Linked DNA regions of Ovis aries. The protein of the gene in region 2 binds, or shares a complex with, the protein of the main gene of each other region. Links are inferred from orthologs where the notes say so. Each region holds a gene or a part of one and is shown on either strand. Other genes may lie near its edges.

The links. The genes of interacting proteins can lie anywhere in the genome.
Region 1: the proteins of TLN1 (region 2) and PIP5K1C are in contact, whole or in part, in a crystal structure (PDB 1Y19), measured with the Mus musculus proteins. The link is inferred for Ovis aries from reciprocal best matches to the Homo sapiens genes TLN1 and PIP5K1C. Residues at the interface, in NP_035732.2 of Mus musculus: Pro209, Val210, Gln211, Leu212, Leu214; in NP_032870.2 of Mus musculus: Pro646, Leu647, His648, Tyr649, Ser650, Ala651.
Region 3: the proteins of TLN1 (region 2) and APBB1IP are in contact, whole or in part, in a crystal structure (PDB 4W8P), measured with the Mus musculus proteins. The link is inferred for Ovis aries from reciprocal best matches to the Homo sapiens genes TLN1 and APBB1IP. Residues at the interface, in NP_035732.2 of Mus musculus: Leu1492, Ala1495, Thr1496, Val1498, Ala1499, Thr1502, Ser1503, Cys1506, Asn1507, Arg1510, Val1526, Ala1529, Lys1530, Ala1533, Asn1534, Thr1536, Ala1537, Val1540, Ile1543, Lys1544, Asp1547; in NP_062329.2 of Mus musculus: Asn5, Ile8, Asp9, Met11, Phe12, Thr14, Leu15, Glu18, Met19, Leu21, Leu22, Ser25.

What each region holds. Positions count from the first base shown.
Region 1 is NC_056058.1:18,080,411-18,086,130, reverse strand, and holds part of PIP5K1C (phosphatidylinositol 4-phosphate 5-kinase type-1 gamma), read right to left. Parts: intron 4,770-5,720; coding exon 4,738-4,769; intron 3,349-4,737; coding exon 3,256-3,348; intron 1,444-3,255; coding exon 1,313-1,443; intron 486-1,312; coding exon 368-485; intron 12-367; coding exon 1-11. UniProt on the Homo sapiens protein: Catalyzes the phosphorylation of phosphatidylinositol 4-phosphate (PtdIns(4)P/PI4P) to form phosphatidylinositol 4,5-bisphosphate (PtdIns(4,5)P2/PIP2), a lipid second messenger that regulates several cellular processes such as signal transduction, vesicle trafficking, actin cytoskeleton dynamics, cell adhesion, and cell motility.
Region 2 is NC_056055.1:52,827,422-52,833,141, reverse strand, and holds part of TLN1 (talin-1), read right to left. Parts: intron 5,670-5,720; coding exon 5,553-5,669; intron 5,452-5,552; coding exon 5,338-5,451; intron 5,135-5,337; coding exon 5,000-5,134; intron 4,836-4,999; coding exon 4,707-4,835; intron 4,552-4,706; coding exon 4,449-4,551; intron 4,299-4,448; coding exon 4,090-4,298; intron 3,767-4,089; coding exon 3,647-3,766; intron 3,442-3,646; coding exon 3,244-3,441; intron 3,058-3,243; coding exon 2,918-3,057; intron 2,733-2,917; coding exon 2,639-2,732; intron 2,518-2,638; coding exon 2,428-2,517; intron 2,311-2,427; coding exon 2,188-2,310; intron 967-2,187; coding exon 823-966; intron 352-822; coding exon 190-351; intron 1-189. UniProt on the Homo sapiens protein: High molecular weight cytoskeletal protein concentrated at regions of cell-matrix and cell-cell contacts. Involved in connections of major cytoskeletal structures to the plasma membrane.
Region 3 is NC_056066.1:17,352,689-17,358,408, forward strand, and holds part of APBB1IP (amyloid beta A4 precursor protein-binding family B member 1-interacting protein), read right to left. Parts: intron 5,027-5,720; coding exon 4,939-5,026; intron 2,802-4,938; coding exon 2,515-2,801; intron 889-2,514; coding exon 811-888; intron 1-810. UniProt on the Homo sapiens protein: Appears to function in the signal transduction from Ras activation to actin cytoskeletal remodeling. Suppresses insulin-induced promoter activities through AP1 and SRE. Mediates Rap1-induced adhesion.

The sequences.
Region 1 (5,720 bases), on a different chromosome or scaffold from region 2:
CACAGCGAGTACTGAAAAGGGGATGGTGGATGGATGGGGGTGGTCACCGACACCGCACAGGCCCAGGGGCTGGTGGGTGATCCCAGAAGTGGTCTCGGTCGGCTCCATGGGACAGTCACAGAGGAGACCGTAGTATCTGGAAGGAATGGACGTCCTGGCCAGCAAGGACAGAGCCTGGCTGATGAAGCCAGGGGTTTGGAAGGGACCCAATGCAGTTGAGTCCACTTGAGGCCACAGCCCAGCCCCAGATGACAACCTGAGCAAGGAGCCCAGCAACGCTGCAGCCATGTCCCTGCCCCATGGAGGCCGAGGACGACAAGCAGGTGGTGATCTAAGCCCCGAGCCAGGCTGCTGAGGACACACTCACCAAGTAGTCATCTGGCCGAATCCCAAAGAGCTCCCGGAAGTAGCGGAAGGCAACAGGCGCATAGGTCTTGAACCTGAAGTCCTGGAAGTGATGGGCGGGAGTGAGGTTGCTGCCTTCACTGCAGAGGAAGCAGGGGGGAGACTGTGAGGGACCCAGGCCCATGTACACTCCCTTCCCCCACCAACAGTCTGCCTACCCGCCCAGGCCCAGCCCCAAGGCACCCGAATAGCCAACCCAAAAAGTGACATGGGGCTCCCATGCTGGACACGGGACCAAGGGCTGTGGCCAGTCTCAGATTGTCCTCCAATGACCACCTTCCCCTTCCTTCATTAGCCCACAGTGTGGGGTGCACACATGGCCACCCAGAATAAGACCACTGCCAGCCTCTGCCACAGCCAGGCATGATCAGGGTGCTGTGCTTGCACAATCCCATGAGAGGAGAATGACTTGGTCTTTTCCTAGTCATGCCCTTAAAGGGCAGGGGCATGTGCTCTCCTTCTCTTTCCTGTGGTTGGAATGCAGCTGTGATGGCAGGAACCTGGGCGGCTCTTGCAGCCACTGGTTTGTAAAGCAGCATAGAAGATGGTGGAGAAACCAGAAGGAATCTGGGCCCAGTAACATCATGGAGCCACCTGACCAATCTTCCAATCTTGGACTGTGTGTGTGTGTGTGTGTGTGTCTAGGTATACACGCGCACACACATATTAGAAAGAGAGAAACAACAAACTTTTGTCTTCCTCTCTTTCTAAGAGCTGCCGTTCTATTGCATTTCTCTGATTCAGCAGCAAACATCCCGACTAACACAGGGCTGGACCTCAAAGGCAAGGGGAGCCCAGGAAGGGCCGGAGCCATTTCCAGCAGAGAAAAAGGCTGAAAGAATAGCAGGGGGGCGGTGTGTGCATGCAGGGAGAGTACAGAGGGTTTGGAGCGGCCCGGGCAGGGTACCTGGGAAAGAAGATGCTCTCCACCACATAGAAGTCCTGCATGAGCACGTCACGCTCTGGCTTGGAGCTCAGGTTGCCCACGGTGTAGCCGATGCCCAGCTGGATGGCCCCCTTCAGGGTAGAGGACGTGGTCTGCGGGAAACCCAGCTGCATCAAAACCCCTGGGGCCCATCCCTTGGCTGCCAGGGTCCGAGACAGGACAGGAAGCCCCCTTAGGATGAAGGGGGCAGCATCCGGCCTGTGGCTCAGCCCTTGACACCCATTACCTCCAAGGGGTCCCCAGGCAGCACCTGCCGAGCCCGTCACAGACGTGCTGGCCTCAGGCCCACCACTCAGCCTGCATAACCACATGGCCAGGAAGTGGCCTGGCTGAGGCTCCAACACCACCATGTGGCCCCGTGGCCTGTTTTCTATCCACATTCTAGAAGGTTCCTATAGCTCAGAACTGCCCCGACATGGGGGAGGGTCTACCACTGCCAGGGTTCTCTTTTGGGAAGCAGGAGTACAGCATCCAGCAATGCCCAGGCTTCCCTTCTGAGACCCGGGCTCCTTCTGTCTACTCTCAAAGGGATCTGCCTCTCTGCATCCCAGTCCTCCACCCTGGCACTGGCCTTCCTGGGGCCCCTCATGCCGCCCTCCCTAGAGAAGAACCAGCTGCCTGTCCATCTGTCAGCACTGCCATTCACGTCACCGTCACCATGAGCCTTAAGCAACACGCCCACCATCGAGGAAAGACGCCTTGGTCCTCAAGTTACCGACTCGGGTCCCCAGCACCCCCGCTGCAGCGTCAAGCCCTTCCCAAGTGCCCACCCCTCCTCCCGAAGCCCCACCTCCATCCATTCCCTCAAGATGACATCGACTGAACACAGTCTTCCAGAGGAGATACACAGATGGCCAGTGAGCACAGAAGGTGCTGGGTACCACCAGACGCAGGGAAGGTGCAAATCTAGACAGTGAGACCTGCTGCCCATGCATCGGGAGGGACAGATCAGACAGACCAGCACCACACAGGACGGGGAGTGGAGTCCCCATGCTCAGCTGGCAAGAATGGAGAATGGGATGGCCACGGTGGACTGTGTGGCAGCTCCTCCAAGGGCTACCTGTGACCCCCCGGGGGGCCCAGCGGTTCCACTACTAGGACTGCGGCCCAAGGAGGGCAGTGCAGTCCCCAAAATCATCTGGACACAAGCCCTCACAACAGCACTGCTCACAACAGCCAGAAAAGGTCCATCAGTGGAGGGTGGATACACAGACCATGGTCCCCCTGCCCATGAGAGCATCGCTCGGCTACAAAAAGGGAGAAGCCCTGATACTCGCTACCACATGGATGACCCCCGATTCTCCCTGACACTCGCTACCACGTGGATGGCCCCGAGAACACGATGCTCAGTGAGAGAAGCAGACACAGAAGGACACACAGAATGTGACCCCACTGACGGCAAATGTCCAGAACAGGCTGATCCACAGACACAGACAGTGGGTTCCTGGCTGTCAGGGGATGGGGGAGGCAAATGGGGACAGGGCTTTTGAGGTGAGAGAAATGCTTTAAAATTGACTCTGGCGATGGTTGCACAGCTCTGAATACTCTAGAAACCGTCTAATTGAACACTTCAGAAGGGTGACTCACTCACTGCACACACTCGCTCTCAGTGAGGTGGGTGTTTTTAGGAGGTGTGACCAGGCGGAGAGGACCAGCAGCAGCGGGACCAGCTCACCACGCACAGCCCTGGCCCAACCTCACCTCCGCCCCACTCCCAAGGGACGGGAGGAAGCTGCAATTTCCTCTCACCCAAGGTCACAGTCAAGGCCACAGTGACTTGAGGAGCCAGGCAGGTGGTGCAGCCTCCAGCCACAAACAGCCCACACCTGACCTTCCGTGGGCCCCGTGCACACGTGTGGGGGCCCCCTTGTCCCACCCCCGTTGACTGAGGGAAGAGCAGGAACCTTCTTGTAGGTGGTTTCGCCAGATGCATCCACGCCTCGATGACCCAGCTTCTTCCCATGGCCAGGGCCGGGCTGTCCAGTCATCAGTGGGACCTGGGGAAGAGGAAGGAAGAAGTTCAGAATTGGCGAGAAACCAGAATGCTCTGGAAATCCCAGCTGGAGTCTGGGGCGGGGGCTGGGTAGGCTGCGGGCACGGGGGCTCCTTTCTGGGGGCCGACATCCCACATCTAGGGGCCACACCCAGACCAGGACCTCCAGAAAAGAAAGTCAGCAGCCTGGGCCCTCTGCAGGGAGAAAAGCCCCAACTCCAGGGTCACCCCCACCCCAGGCTCACCCCCACCCCCAGCACTGCTGACTTGGGGCTAGTCACTCTCTAGGGGGGCACCCTGGGTGCTGTGGGGTGCATAGCAACATCACTGTCCCACCTCTTCTCTGCCAGGAGGCCCCCAGTTGTGACAACCACGAATGTTCCCAGACGTGGCTGGGTGAAACCCTTTGGACTGAAATGAGAGTATCTCCTCCCAGATGAGGGAGAGGTCCCGCTGGTCTGGGAGCAGGCTGGTTCCTGCCAGCTCCACAGCATATGAGTGACATCCTGGCAAAGTTGTGCGGAAGCCACTGGCCCTCCTGTGTGACATCGCAGGGGAAAGATGGTGCACAGGGCCATGGGGCCTGAAGGAGACACACCAGCTCAAGAGCTGGGCCGAGGCCGCCCCAAAGATGGTGCATACTTGCCACCATTCACAGGGCTCAGACCAGCCTGTTCTGCACGCTGGCCACCAGGGGGCGGGCTTCCCTCAGGCAACGTTAGTTGCCAGCCCTGCTCTGCACCCCTCGCTGGCTCCCCACTGCCTGTCAGCTGGACACCCACCAGGGCCCCAGCAGATGGGCAAAGCCGTCACAGGAAGGACCCTGGGTGCCCAGCAGCGTCCTGGGAGAGGAGCCTGGCTGGGAGGGAACATGGCTGTCAGGGTGGCTCCCGCTATACCTGGGGTCCTCTAACCTGCTGTCCATGGCTCCTCAGACAACAGGGCTCAGACGCCCCTCGCAGGTGGCTTCCAGGAGTGACCGGAAACCAACAAACTAGAGACAGGGTGCCAAGGGCTCACGCAAGTGGCCACCACCAGGAAAAGTTGCCTGGGGACAGGACCAGTGGGACCCTCGGTGGGCAGGTATGGGACAGCAGGGGGTGGGGGGGAAGGCCGGCTTGAAGGTACTGCTGACAGGGACAGGCAGGGGGCCATCCTCTCCAGGCCCCTCGGGGCTCTCCCCACCCACCCCATCCCTCCCAGAAACTCAAGATGCTGGTGGGACAGACCGTTTCCACTGTCTGACGACATGTGCCTATTTGCTATGCCAGCATCTGAGGCCCAGGGAAGTGCAGTGAGACGCCTAAGGCCACGGAGCAGGATGCGGGCAGGGCAGGGTACTGCCCCGTCCACTTTCGGGAGGCAGGGAGGGTGGGCCCCCGAGGACACTCACCTCTACTGGGGTTGTCTTTTTCTGGGCCGAACCTGAGGAAGAGAAGGGACGCTTTAGTCTGGACCCTTGGCCTCTGCCATCAGCATCGCCCCCCACACACACCCTGTGCCCCTGGGGAGGTGGTAGGGACCCCGCGTGGTAAATAGGCCTGGAGACGCAATGTGGGGGTGGACGCGGAGCGACCACGCTGACGCAGCTCTGCAGGCAGGGGTAGTGGGAGGGCGGGTGGAGACAAGGCACAGCCCATCGCTGGGGAGCCCAAGCACGGAAGGCGGCAGTGATCAGCGGCTGCGGCCCAGGCTAGAGTGACAGCGCTAGCCCCCGAGGCCGCCAGGCGATGGAGAGCCAGCCAGCCAGCCAAGGACACCCCCGGTCCCCGTCCCCACGGCCAGCGATGTTCACCTCTCGGGACCACGACCACCCCCTCCAGCCCAGCTCCTCGGGGCCCTCTGGCCAAGCCCAGGCCCTGCTGAGCCGGCATCCTCACCCAGAAAGCTGGCTTCTGTGAGGGTTATCTGTTCAGTGCGAGTGCTCAGCACATATCTGCCCCAACCCCCAGGGTGTTCATATTCTGGTCCCAGAATGGGCTGTGCTGGTGGGGTTAAAACCCGAGATGGGGATGATCCTGGATTCCCAGGGGCCCAGTGCCATCGCAGGGTCGTCATAAGAGGGAGGGGGAAGGTCAGAGGCAGAGAGACAGGAGATGCTGCTCTGCTGGCTGTGAGGATGGAGGGAGGGGCCGTGAGCCAGGGACGCAGTGCCTCTAGAACCTGGAAAACGCTGGAAAACGGGGGAGCCAGCACTCCCCTGGAGCCTCCGGAGGGATGGGCCCTGCCCATGCCTGGATTTAGCTCCGTCCAGGACAGTGAGATAATCAATCTGTGCAGTTAGCAGGTCAAGTCTGTGGTGATCTGTTACAGCTGCAAGGGGGAGCCCATACACTGATGTCTGCCAGGTGTCAGCATGGAGGGGAAGCAAGTGGT
Region 2 (5,720 bases):
AAGCCCAGGTCTCCCTCCGGAGCTCAAAGGGCACGAAGCAGGGCTGGTGGTGACCAGTGCAGACAGGAAAGACCTTGGGCTTAGGCAGGTGGGACTGGGTAAAGGCCTCAGGGAATGACGGGGTGTAGGGGTCGGGGGAGAGAAGACTGGACAGGTCAGGGAGAGGCTGAGAATTCAAACACTGGGAACCTTGATGGTCTTGACAAGATTGGCCGTGCTGTTGGCCACCTCCTTGGCTGATTGTACAAACTGGCGCTTGGCGGTGGGATTGCTGGTTCGGGCAGAAGCTAGGCGGCAGCTGTTACACAGTGCAGACGTGTGTTTGGCCACAATGGTGGCTGCAGAGAGCACCTGAGGAGGCAGAGATGTGGAAGAGCCATGTGAGGGCAGGAGGGCCGTGTCTACACCGGGGAGCAGCCCCTTCAGCTTGGGGGATGGACAGCAATCCTTTGGAAGCCTCATTAGGAAAAACAGAGTCACCTGAAAGTCAAGATCTGGGAGACAGATACCCAAAGATGCGCAGGGTGTAGGAGAAAGGAAAATGAAAAGCCGGCACACTAATGGAGAAATCGCTCACAGGCTCAGGAGGAGACAGAGCTCAAACCTCCATAGAGAAGTCATGGAAGTAAAGGCAGTAGCGGAAGGAATGATGAGAAACACAGCCAGAGAAGACAGTGGCCCAGAGAAGCTATGGGCAGGAGGCCAGCACTGGGGCGCCACCCAGCGCTGCACGTCCTGCACCTTCTCCCACCACGGGGGCGGCCTGTCCTGGCTCAGCAGCCTTTCCCAGGCTTGCTCACAGTGACTGCACCCCCGAGTTACCTGGGCCTGGGTGCAGCCAGGCTCCCCCAAACTCTGACAGGCCATCTGAATTGCCTGGTTTGCTCGGGCAAACTGTGTGGGCTCCACCAGCCCTTGTTGTCCAGCTTGGCTGTTGGGGTCAGACACGCCAACCAGGTATGCAGCCTGTAGAGAGATAAGAGTGGGGTGAGGAATAAGGAATATTCCTGAGGTAGGACTGGAATAGCCACAGTGGGGACAAAGGGGAGCAGGGGTAAGTTCAGTGGCCAGGGTTCTACGTGAGTGGAGATACACTAGCAAACTGCAATTATAGTATAAAAGAGGGAAAAACCTCTCCTGTTTTGTTAAATGTGTTCAAACATCTCAGATTAAAAAATGACAAAAAAAAAAAAAGAAGCACAGTAAGCTTTTTATCAAAATTCAGTTCACCTGTTTATGTGTTTGTATGTTGGATCTTAAGGTAAAAAGTAGTGCTTATTCTCAGTGCTGGTAAAAAAAAAAATTTGAAAGACACACACACACACAGCCTCTTTTAGGGGCTAATAAAACTGTGGGTGGTGTTAGGCTAATTAACACATAACGCCTCCAAGCTTCAGAGATTTAGAAAGAGGGAAGGGATGGTTGCCAAAAACTGTTTCTGCTTGGAAGATCATCGTAAGGTTTGATTCTTACTTCACCCAACACATGATAGCTTTGCATTTTCTTCCTCATGCTTTTCCAGAAATACGTCAAACCATATACAGCAGGACACCCAATAGAACAGGGCACAGGGAAGCAGGGAGATTGAAGGAAACAGGCTGACAGGATGAGCTCTCAAGTCAGTTTGTTTTAAGGATTCATAAATAAAAGCAAAATACTCTGAGCCGATGGATCGTTTTATACTTCATAATGCAGAAAATGGCAAGTTAGGTGGTGACTCAAGTAACTGGGAATTTGGTGTAATAATTATGTGTGGACTTCCCTGGGGGTCCAGTGGTTGAGACAGCACTTCCAAACTCAGGGTGCATGAGTTTGATCCCTGATCACGAAACTAAGAGCCAGCTTGCCGTGTGGCTCAGTGAAAAAAAAAAAAAAAAAAAAAAAAAAGTACTAATTATATGAAAATAATTTGCATATGCTAGGCAGAATATACCAGGCAAGCTGGGGCCAGATTCAGTGGTTGTTCAGTGTAATCACAACTGAAAGCACCAGGGCTCAGCGGTGACAGTGATCAGAATTGTTGGTGTTCTATGCTTGCTGACAAACACCTCTACTTTAGGTGGGGAAAGATCCCCATCTTCCACACAGCTGGCTTTATAACTTTGTCTTCTGTGCATGTGGGTCAGAGTCCGAGGAGGTGGGCTAGAGACAACAGGGGAGTTCCAGGGACCATCCCAGGAGGATAACCTGTGCAGCTGCCTCGGTGAAGCCGCAGAGGGCCTTGGAGGCTGTGGCGACAGCCTCCCCAAACTCTGGCAGGTTTCCGTTCTTGGCATTTTGGGAGATGCCGGTCATGGCCTCACCCAGCACCTGGGGAACAGAGGGTATAGGGAGAGTCAGATCTTGTCCTCAGGGGGAGAGGGCAGCCCCTGGCTGGCTCATTTTCCTACCCTCTCCCCTCCTTGGGAGGGGACTGGGTACACCTACCTTCGAGTTTTCCATGACGCTGTCCAGACAGCCGAAGTAGGACATGTCATTGATGGGTTGGACTGGGTTCTCAAGGAGTTCCCGGACAGTCTGTCGGGTGGGGGAAGGGGGTGCAGTTGGTGGTGAATTGAGATCCAAGACGCCCCATCACTGCCCTTTAGCCAAGAACCCTTTCCTCAACTTCAACCCCATTTAGCCTGCCAAGGCCCACCTCCAATTCCCGCAGGGCATTGTCACACTCCTTCTGGCCTGGCGCCTGCTGGGTGCACATGCTGATGAGCTGATTGATGCTGTCGGTCACTGCCCTGGGAGGAACAGGAAGTAGAGTGAATGAGTGCAGAGGTCATCACTTCTACATCCTGCTCACGTAGCAAGTCTCTAGCCATTTCTTTTTTGTCTGGAACAATTCCTGAGCCAGAGACTTCTTACAAAACGTCCCCTCCCCAGTCTGCTTAACATGCAAGGACTTGGTTTCCCAGCTCCCACTTACCGGGCAGCTGCAGCCAGCTGACTCTTGAGGGTTGGGGCTGCAGGGTCTGTGGACAGGGCCTTGGCAGCGAGAAGAAGTTTGCTTGAAGACATGGAGATGCCCTTCAAGTTGGACACAACCTGGGCACGATCCTCCTGGCTCTGTTGAGGGCAAGAAGGCCAATGCATTGTTCAATCTTTTCTTGTCTGTCTCTAAAAGGGATTCTCTGTCTCAGACACCCAAGTACTGCTAGAGACTGGGGAGGGGAGGGGGCCAGGAGCAGGTCAGGACTCCTTGGTCACAGAGACACCCCTGACCCTTGAACCGTACCCAGCTTCCCTTCATACCGGAGCCTGGCCTGCCATCTCCACGCCAGCTTCCAGGAAGGTGCTAAAGTCCTGTCCAAATCGACCTGAGGCTCGGGCCAGGTCCTGAGGGGTTCCCCGAGAGGCCTGCACCAGCTCTGTGGCTGCCTGATTCAGCCCGGCAGCCGCTTCATTCAGCCGGCTCTGAGCCTCCTGAAAGGTCCCAGTGCTGGGGGGAAGCTGCAGGATCAGAGAGAGAGTCAGGAGCAAGGATGGGAGATGACATGAGAGGGAGCCTGGTGAGGGAGCTTGGGGAGGTGGGCACAGGCCTGGGGGAGCAGTGAGGGGAGGGGGTGCATCTGGGGAGTTAGGGTGATGGATAGGTCTAGAGGTAGATACTTGGAGTCCTTTGTCCCCATGTCCCCTCACACCCCTGTCCTCCTACCGAGTCACTCAGGAGTCGCTTGCTGGCATCTCCCACTGCCCTCAGGGCATTGTCCACATCACGCTGGCCAGGTAGGCAGCTGACGCAGCGGTTCAGGGCCTGGGTCACAGCTTTAGCCACCTGAGGTGGGAAGGGAGACAGGGGTTGCCAAAGCAGAAACAACTGCAAGATCCCCGCCTCCACCCATGGGAGCCTCTGAAAGTGAAAGCAGAAAGGGAGTGCTATAGCTGAACAGCCAAAGTATCGAGTTAGGGTATCAAACTTCCCCAAATGTGGTATTTGGCTAGGCCCAGGCCCCGCTTTCGCTGAGACTCTTCTACTCAGACTGAGAAGGAAGGGTGGAATCCAGAGAGGAGCCACAGTGCTGACGAGACACCCCCTCGAGGCAGCCTTCTGAGGGGGTCGGGGGAGAGGGAGGAAGCAGCCTCGGCCCAAAACCGAACCTGGGCAAGCCGCTGCTGGCTCTCAGGGTCCCCAGGATGGCCGGCTGCTTTCTTCGCCTCCTCGATGAGGCTGCTGGCCTTGTCCAGGACATCGCTGGCTGTGTCGAGCACAATGGCTTGCACTGCAGGATCTGACGTCAGGGCAGCTACGCCCCTAGCAGCTTGGGCCAGTGACCGCAGCCCACCTGCCACATCCCGAGCTGCAATGCCTGGGGAGACAACGAGAGAGAAAGGAGGAAAAAAGGTAGCTTCACTGCCAACCCCTGATGCTGGGGGCTTCCTGTGTCACCCCACGCCTCCTACAGCTCCCATTCCCCCTCCTTCTCCCTACAGGCCCCATCCTGGCCCTAACCGCATACCTGCGTAATTCTCATTGCCCTGGGCAACCTCCCCCAGCAGCTGGGCAATGGCGGAGCTCACGGCTTTGGTGCTGTTGCCCAGGTCCTGGGCACATTTCTCCATCTAGGGATGACAGGGAGACTCGGACTCAGCCACAGGAGAAACAGGGAAGAGAGAGCTTGAGAAGCTACTGAGAGTCAGCAGGCAGTTTCAACAAAGGTTCAGGGCAGCTCTGGGACACAGGTGAGAAGGAGCCTTCAGATCTCACAAGTACTTACTGTCTCCCCAGGCAAGGGCTTCAGCTTGCCGTCTCGAGCAGCTGCCTTCACTTCCTGCAGGTCTCTCTCCAGATTCTGCACCACACTCAGAGCAGAATCCATTTCCAAAGGCCCACACGCTTCCTGAGCCTACAAACACACGGGGTGAAGGGGGAGAGTTCGAGGGGTAGGAGGTACACAGGGTCTCACTTGTGGCTCAGGTTACAGTTATCCATTTTAGGATAGCCTGAACAGATTCTCCATTATCCCAGGATACCCCCTTCATCTTCCAAAAATATAGCCAGCTTCCATACCTTCTGGGCAGCAGTACGGAGTTCAGCCAATGCGGTGCCAAGGTTTTTAGCACACTGACTCAGCTGCATGGCCGATGCCTGGTCCTGAATTGTTGGCACGGAGGCCTTTGCGGCCGCCACCATCTTCCCACCTGGCTGTTGGGGAATAGGTGGGCAGATGAAGCACACCATATGCCCTCTGGGCTTGGGTACAGGGATGGATGAGGGTCAGGATGTGGTGAGCACTAGGGTTCAGTACTGGGAGAGAGACTAAGGGCAGAGACTTAAACTGATGAGATCTAAAGGCCCTAAGAGGAGTGGGAAGGGTGTGGTCTGAGTGGTCAACAAGGGGGCCTTGCCTGCAGGAAGCTTTGGCTGGCGGCGATGAGGGCTAGCTGAGCACTGGGGCTGTCAGGCTGTGCTTGGCTCCCTCGGACACCCTGCACCAGCAGTGGAATCTGCTCTGCCACAGCCTGTGGGTAAAAATGTCATGAGCACCACCTTCCCACAGGCTGGGGGAAAGTCCCCACCTCCCGTGCCTCCTCCAGCCCCCATGTGCTTCCTGGCGTCTCACCTTGCAGCTCTGCACCAGCAGGGGCTGGGGGCCAGCAGAGGCCTTGGGGGTGGAGGTTGCATGTTGGGCTGCTGCGATGGTCTGTGTAGCCGAGGCTGCAGCTTGTTTGGCTGCATGCTTTAAGGACAGAACAGTAAGGACAAGGCTCAGACGTTCCTGTTCCCCGTC
Region 3 (5,720 bases), on a different chromosome or scaffold from region 2:
CATGTGTTGAACTCCTTCATTCAAAGAACCATGAGAGAGGCTACAGGAACATAAAATCGAACGCCCTCTAGGAAAGGAATAATTCACCCAACTGTAATTAAAAAGCTCTTAATGAGTCTCAGTCATAGCATATGCCTCAGGGGTCAAGGTGAGACTTTATCTTTCTCTTAATTTACCAAATTAACTATTACTAACACTTTATTAGACAGATGCTTTTACTGAGGTTAAATATGTGTGTTTCTGATACAACACAATAAATGCATCTCTGGAAAAACCTACGGAAAAATGCACAATAAATTACACGCTTATTGGGACCACAGGGTTGGGCAGGTGACTCGAAACCTACGCCACTTTGAACACACAGCACCGGCCAGAAGAACATTTGGAACTTCAGGGGAGAACTCGGACACCCAGGGCATCTAGGGGCTGCCCCAGGGGGTATACAACATGCACAAAAGCAACGGTGGAAGTGAGGTGATGCCAGTGGAAGCTGAACTCTAACCAAATTGAGATGGGCCCAGCAGAGGATGCCACCTGCTATTACCCAAGAGTGAGCAGAACCCAGAGGGCATCCTCAGGGGAGGGAGCCCTGGGGGTAGAAACTTCTACATTGACACTAACATAGGTTCCCTATTTATCAATCACAAATGAACAACTGATGTCATGGAAAGAATAATTTATCTTTGTCCTTCAGTTAAAAAAAATACAACTCAATGGAAAGTACCACTTGAATGTAAAACTTTTTTACCCTTAAGCGTATGAAGAAGTTGTTAATTTGACTGCCCCATGTAAAAGTGATTCATAGTTTACCTTCTTGACCTTGGCCTCCTTCAGTTTTTCCAATGCCAGTTTTATTTTATCAGCCTTGGCTTGAGCTTCTTCTTCTTCCTGTAAAACGTAAGACACGAACACAGTCCATTAATCATACAAGCGAGTGAGTATTCCCAACACTGCTAGCGTCGCAGTCACCTTCTGTTGATAAAAGGCTGTACTGGTACCTGCCTGGCTGTCCAGTGGTTAAGACTCACCATGTTGTGTAACTTAAACTTGTATAGTCGTGCTTGTGCTCAGCTGCTAAGTCGTGTCTGACTCTTTGTGATCCCAAGGACTGTAGCCCGCCAGGCTCCTCTGTCTGTGGGATTTCCCAGGCAAGAATACTGGAGTGGCTTGCCATGTCCTTCAGGGAATATTCCCAGCCCAGGGATCGAACCTGCATCTCCTGCATTGGCAGCTGGATTCTTTACCACTGAGCCACCAGGGAAGTCTTATGTTACTGCATATGTGCGTGCTAAGTCTCTTCAGCCGTGCCCAACTCTTTGCGACCCTATGGACTGTAGTCCACCAGGCTCTGTTGTCCATGGGATTCTCCAAGCAAGAGTACTGGAGTGGGTTGCCATGCCCTCCTCCAGGGCATCTTCCCAACCCAGAGATGGAACCCATGTCTCCCGCGGCTCCTGACTTGCAGGCAGACTCTTTACTACTGAGCCACTGGGGAAGCCCCATGTTACTGCATCTTGCTGTAAATAATATAAATGTACAAAATTCTCTCTGAAAAGTTTTTTGGACTCAACCAGGCCCTTTGAAACTTCTATAATATTATACATCAATTATATCTCAATAAACTGGAGGAAAAAAGAGCCTCTGTTCTAAATGGATCACCAATTTTCAAATAATTTTTATACAAGAATCACATAATACAGCAATGAGTAGTATTTGATATTTGTTTATATTTCCTATTTATTCATCCAAAAGATATTGTAGGGATTTTCAGGGTTCCTAGGGTTGTATTTATAAGTACTGATCAGCATACAGTACAATAAATGTGAGAGCCACAGGAAATAGAGCTAGGTTATTTCTCTAAAATATTTTATTATTTTTTTAATTTTTCTAAAATATTTTAAAAGTGGCTTACCCTAAGCAAAATCCTTAAAGCACCCTTTTTGCATTGATGAGGGACATAAACTGACATCCCAAATATTGACAATATGAACTTCTCAGAAATCTATTAATATCAAACACTTACCACCTGCTTGCCCATAACACCCCTTCCAACTTTGACTTTACAAGTGATATCTTTGCCAATGAACAAGGCTGTCAAATTCAGCAAAATTCCATTTAGTTCAATTTAGAAATAGGTAAGGAATGCCTTCTATTCTTTAGGTACTGGGCAAGGATCAGGGACACAGCAATGTGTAAATCATTTCCAAAGCACACACCAAGTTAATCAAATATGACCCCCGAAAGGTTGAGTATTATCAGGAAAAGCCATATACAAATGTAGATTTAGCCAAACTATAATAATTCCTGAATATGGCCATAATAAGTTCCTTATACTCACCACCGTGTCCTTTCACAGGCATTTTACATCTGACTTTGCAATGAACACATCTGGGATCCTTGTTTGTTTGAATCTTAGAGCCCCGGGCATACACATTTATGAATGGAACCGTCACTTTGAAGAAAGTCAGAGACCATGGGTGGCAGAGGTCAAGAGTCCTGACCCCATGGACTTACCTGAGAGATGGGTCCTGGAGGGGGTGGTGGCAGCGGAAGGTCTAACACGGGATCAGCTGGTGGAGGTGGTAAGTCATCATCATACTGACTCGTTGCAGCAACATTTGCTCCATAACCAAGAGAGGTTGTACCACTGAAGCTTGGCACACACAGGGATGCTGACTGAGGTTGCTTTTGAGGGGTCTCTTTCTGGGCCTGGATTGTCCTCTGCTCAGCTTCACTTATGTCTGCTACCAGATCTGCCATGAGAGCATCTAAATCTTGGTCTTCCAGTGCATTTAAGGACTCTGATAGGGAAAATCACATTCATGAACAAGATAATGATGTGTACCTGGAAAAACTAAATGAAAGTCATTTTAAAGTGTCAGTTTTTCTGTAAAGCAATTATCCTTCAAAAAATATATTAATTTTTTAAAAAAGAGTAAGTTTGAGTACAGGTTGCCAGGGATTGGAGTCGGGGAAATAAGATGAGGTTAGTGAAAGAATATGAACTTTTATAAGGCAAATAAGGTCTGAGGATCTAAGTATACCACAATGACTCTAGTTGCTAACTTGCTGTATGGTATAATTGAAATCTGCTGAAAGAGTAGAACTTAAACATTCTCACTAAAATAAGAAGTAAATATGCGAGGAGATAGATAGGTTAACTATCTTGATGGGGCCAATCTTTTCACAATGTAGATGCACACCAAATCTGCACATTGTACACTTTTACATATAATACAGTTTTATTCATCAAGTTAGCTTCAATAAAGCTAAAAATATCCTTTCCTTCCCCCCTAAAAAAACAAAAAACAAAAAACAAAAAACAAGGGAGGCAAATGCCTTCCCTACATTGAGCATCCTCACAGGCCACTTATAAAGTGAAATCCAAGTGCTGACTGGATGCCTATGTAGGAAATTCTTGTGCATTCTGGTGCAAAATCTTAAGAGTTTTACAAAGTAGGGGATGGGAGAGGCTGGACATGGATGGAAAGTTCTCCCAGGTCTTTGGACAGCGGCAAACAGAGCAACACTAACAAATATACTTGGAAGAGAGTCGGTCTCCACCAACTGGGATTTACTTCATGTGCCTTGAGATTTGGGGTGAGGATAGAGTTTCTGTGGGCACACCATCCAATCATGGGAACTCTTACATCTCAAAAGAGCAACTCTCACATCTCAAAAGAGCAACAGCAGGAAACAAAGCACAAAGGGCATTAAGAGTGAAAAAAATGTTTTTGAAAAATTGGGATTAACTGGTAAAGACTTCATAAGACAGTGAGTTGGAAGTTAATTCTCTTTTTTTTTTTTTTAAAGAATTTTCTCTTGTTGTTTTCAAGACTTTCTATACATTAATACTAGCAGTTAAGTATTGTTTTGTGTGTTTTTTTTTTTTTTTTGACTGCACCACATGGTTTGTGGGATCTTAGTTCCCTGACCAGGGATCAAACCTGGTCCTACTGCCTTGGGAGCACGAAGGAGTCTCAACCACTCCACCACAGGGAAGTCCTGGGAGTTAACTCTTAAAGGAAACGGCAGACCCAGATTTTCAGAGTGAGGGGGAGGGAGGATGGTTTCGCTGGAATTTCTTCCACGTGTGAGATTACTGTGAGATCACGTGCATCCAGGGAGCCACGGCCGTGAATTGAGTTGGGACGGCACGTGGCTGATCAGGCAGTCACTGGAGGGTGAGTGTGATGAACAAAGGGCGAGCAGGGTGGAAGTGATGATGAGGAAGAGAAATCTAGCTGCTGTGTGCAACGTGAACGAGATTGAGGAAATGGGGATGGGGGAAATACAGCCTTCTCAGGAACAAAGGATCAGAAGGCATGGGGAAATCATTTATTGCCCAACATCATTAGCACAAACACCATACAGCATATTATTACATTAATGCTAATGGTTCAACCCTGAATATTCATTGGAAGGACTGTTGCTGAAGCTCTGATAACCTCGGCCACTTGATGCAAAGAGCTGACTCACTGGAAAAGACTCTGATGCTGGAAAAGATTGAAGGCAAAAGGAAAGGGGGGCGGCAGAGGATGAAATGGTTAGATCTCAGGGACACCAACCCGATGGACATGAATTTGAGCAAACTCCAGGTGACAGTGAAAACTGAGGAGCCTGGCATGCTGCAGTCCATGGGGTCGCTGGGTTGGACATGACTTAGTCACTGAACAACAACAATGGTTCCATGTACAGCGCTTGGAGAAGTTTGGATCTCCTAACTATGTAAAAAGGGTTTATTTCCTCCTAAGCCAGTGTTCTTTTGCACATAACTTCTTCATAAAATTAAGTGAAATCAATTCTTAAAACCTCAGAAAGAATGTATGTAGAACTAAGGAAGTGTATTCCTAGTTTTCTAGAGCTACGAATTACACTCTGACAGATTTTAGTCATTGCTATGATTTCAAATTACTCAAGAAAAGAAACGATGCTTACCATTTAAATCCTTAAACCCCACACTGTAGTTAAATTCAACTCTGGGCGGTTTAGGATCTGGAGGAGGAAGAATGTCGACTCCTAAACTCTGTGAAAACAGAGCCCCAGCCCCAAAGTTATTCGGGATACTTACATTTTTGCAGGGCAAATTATTCATTAAGTAAAGAATCATCTACTGTTTACCCATGTTCCCTCTAAACGTGTTCTCTAAAAACTGTATTATTTGCACACTTTAGGTGATTTTTTTCCCCTACAAAAAATGACAAGTTAAAAATTATTCTAGAAAGTACACTTTGAAACAAAACATATCAACTGAGACTGATGAGAATGAAGTTGTTTGTTTTTATAAACAACAGGAAAAATTTCTGGTAATGGTGTACCTGTAACACACACGCTGTATATATAATTCATTAAGACTTAAGTTATGACATCAAAGAAAGGAATATTTAGTCACTTGAAGAAAAGAACTGTTCAGGATGCAATCTTTTATTATACAGTAAAATGTTAATGCTGTTGCTCTTATTTAATAACACTCTTGTTAAAAAGAAATGAAGACACAGTTACTCATTTTGTAAATAACATTATTTTTTAAGTGAAAAAGTGACTTCTTGTATGATTTAAAAGCTAATATTTAAAAATATTTTTACATCCATAGTTTGAGAAGTGATTTCACCTGTTCCTACTCATGAATGTTTTCATGACGGTAAGTGTATTTTTTTATGTTAATTTGATGTAGTAATATCCTTGTTCATGTTTTAAATTTCTGAAAGAAGCAATCATTA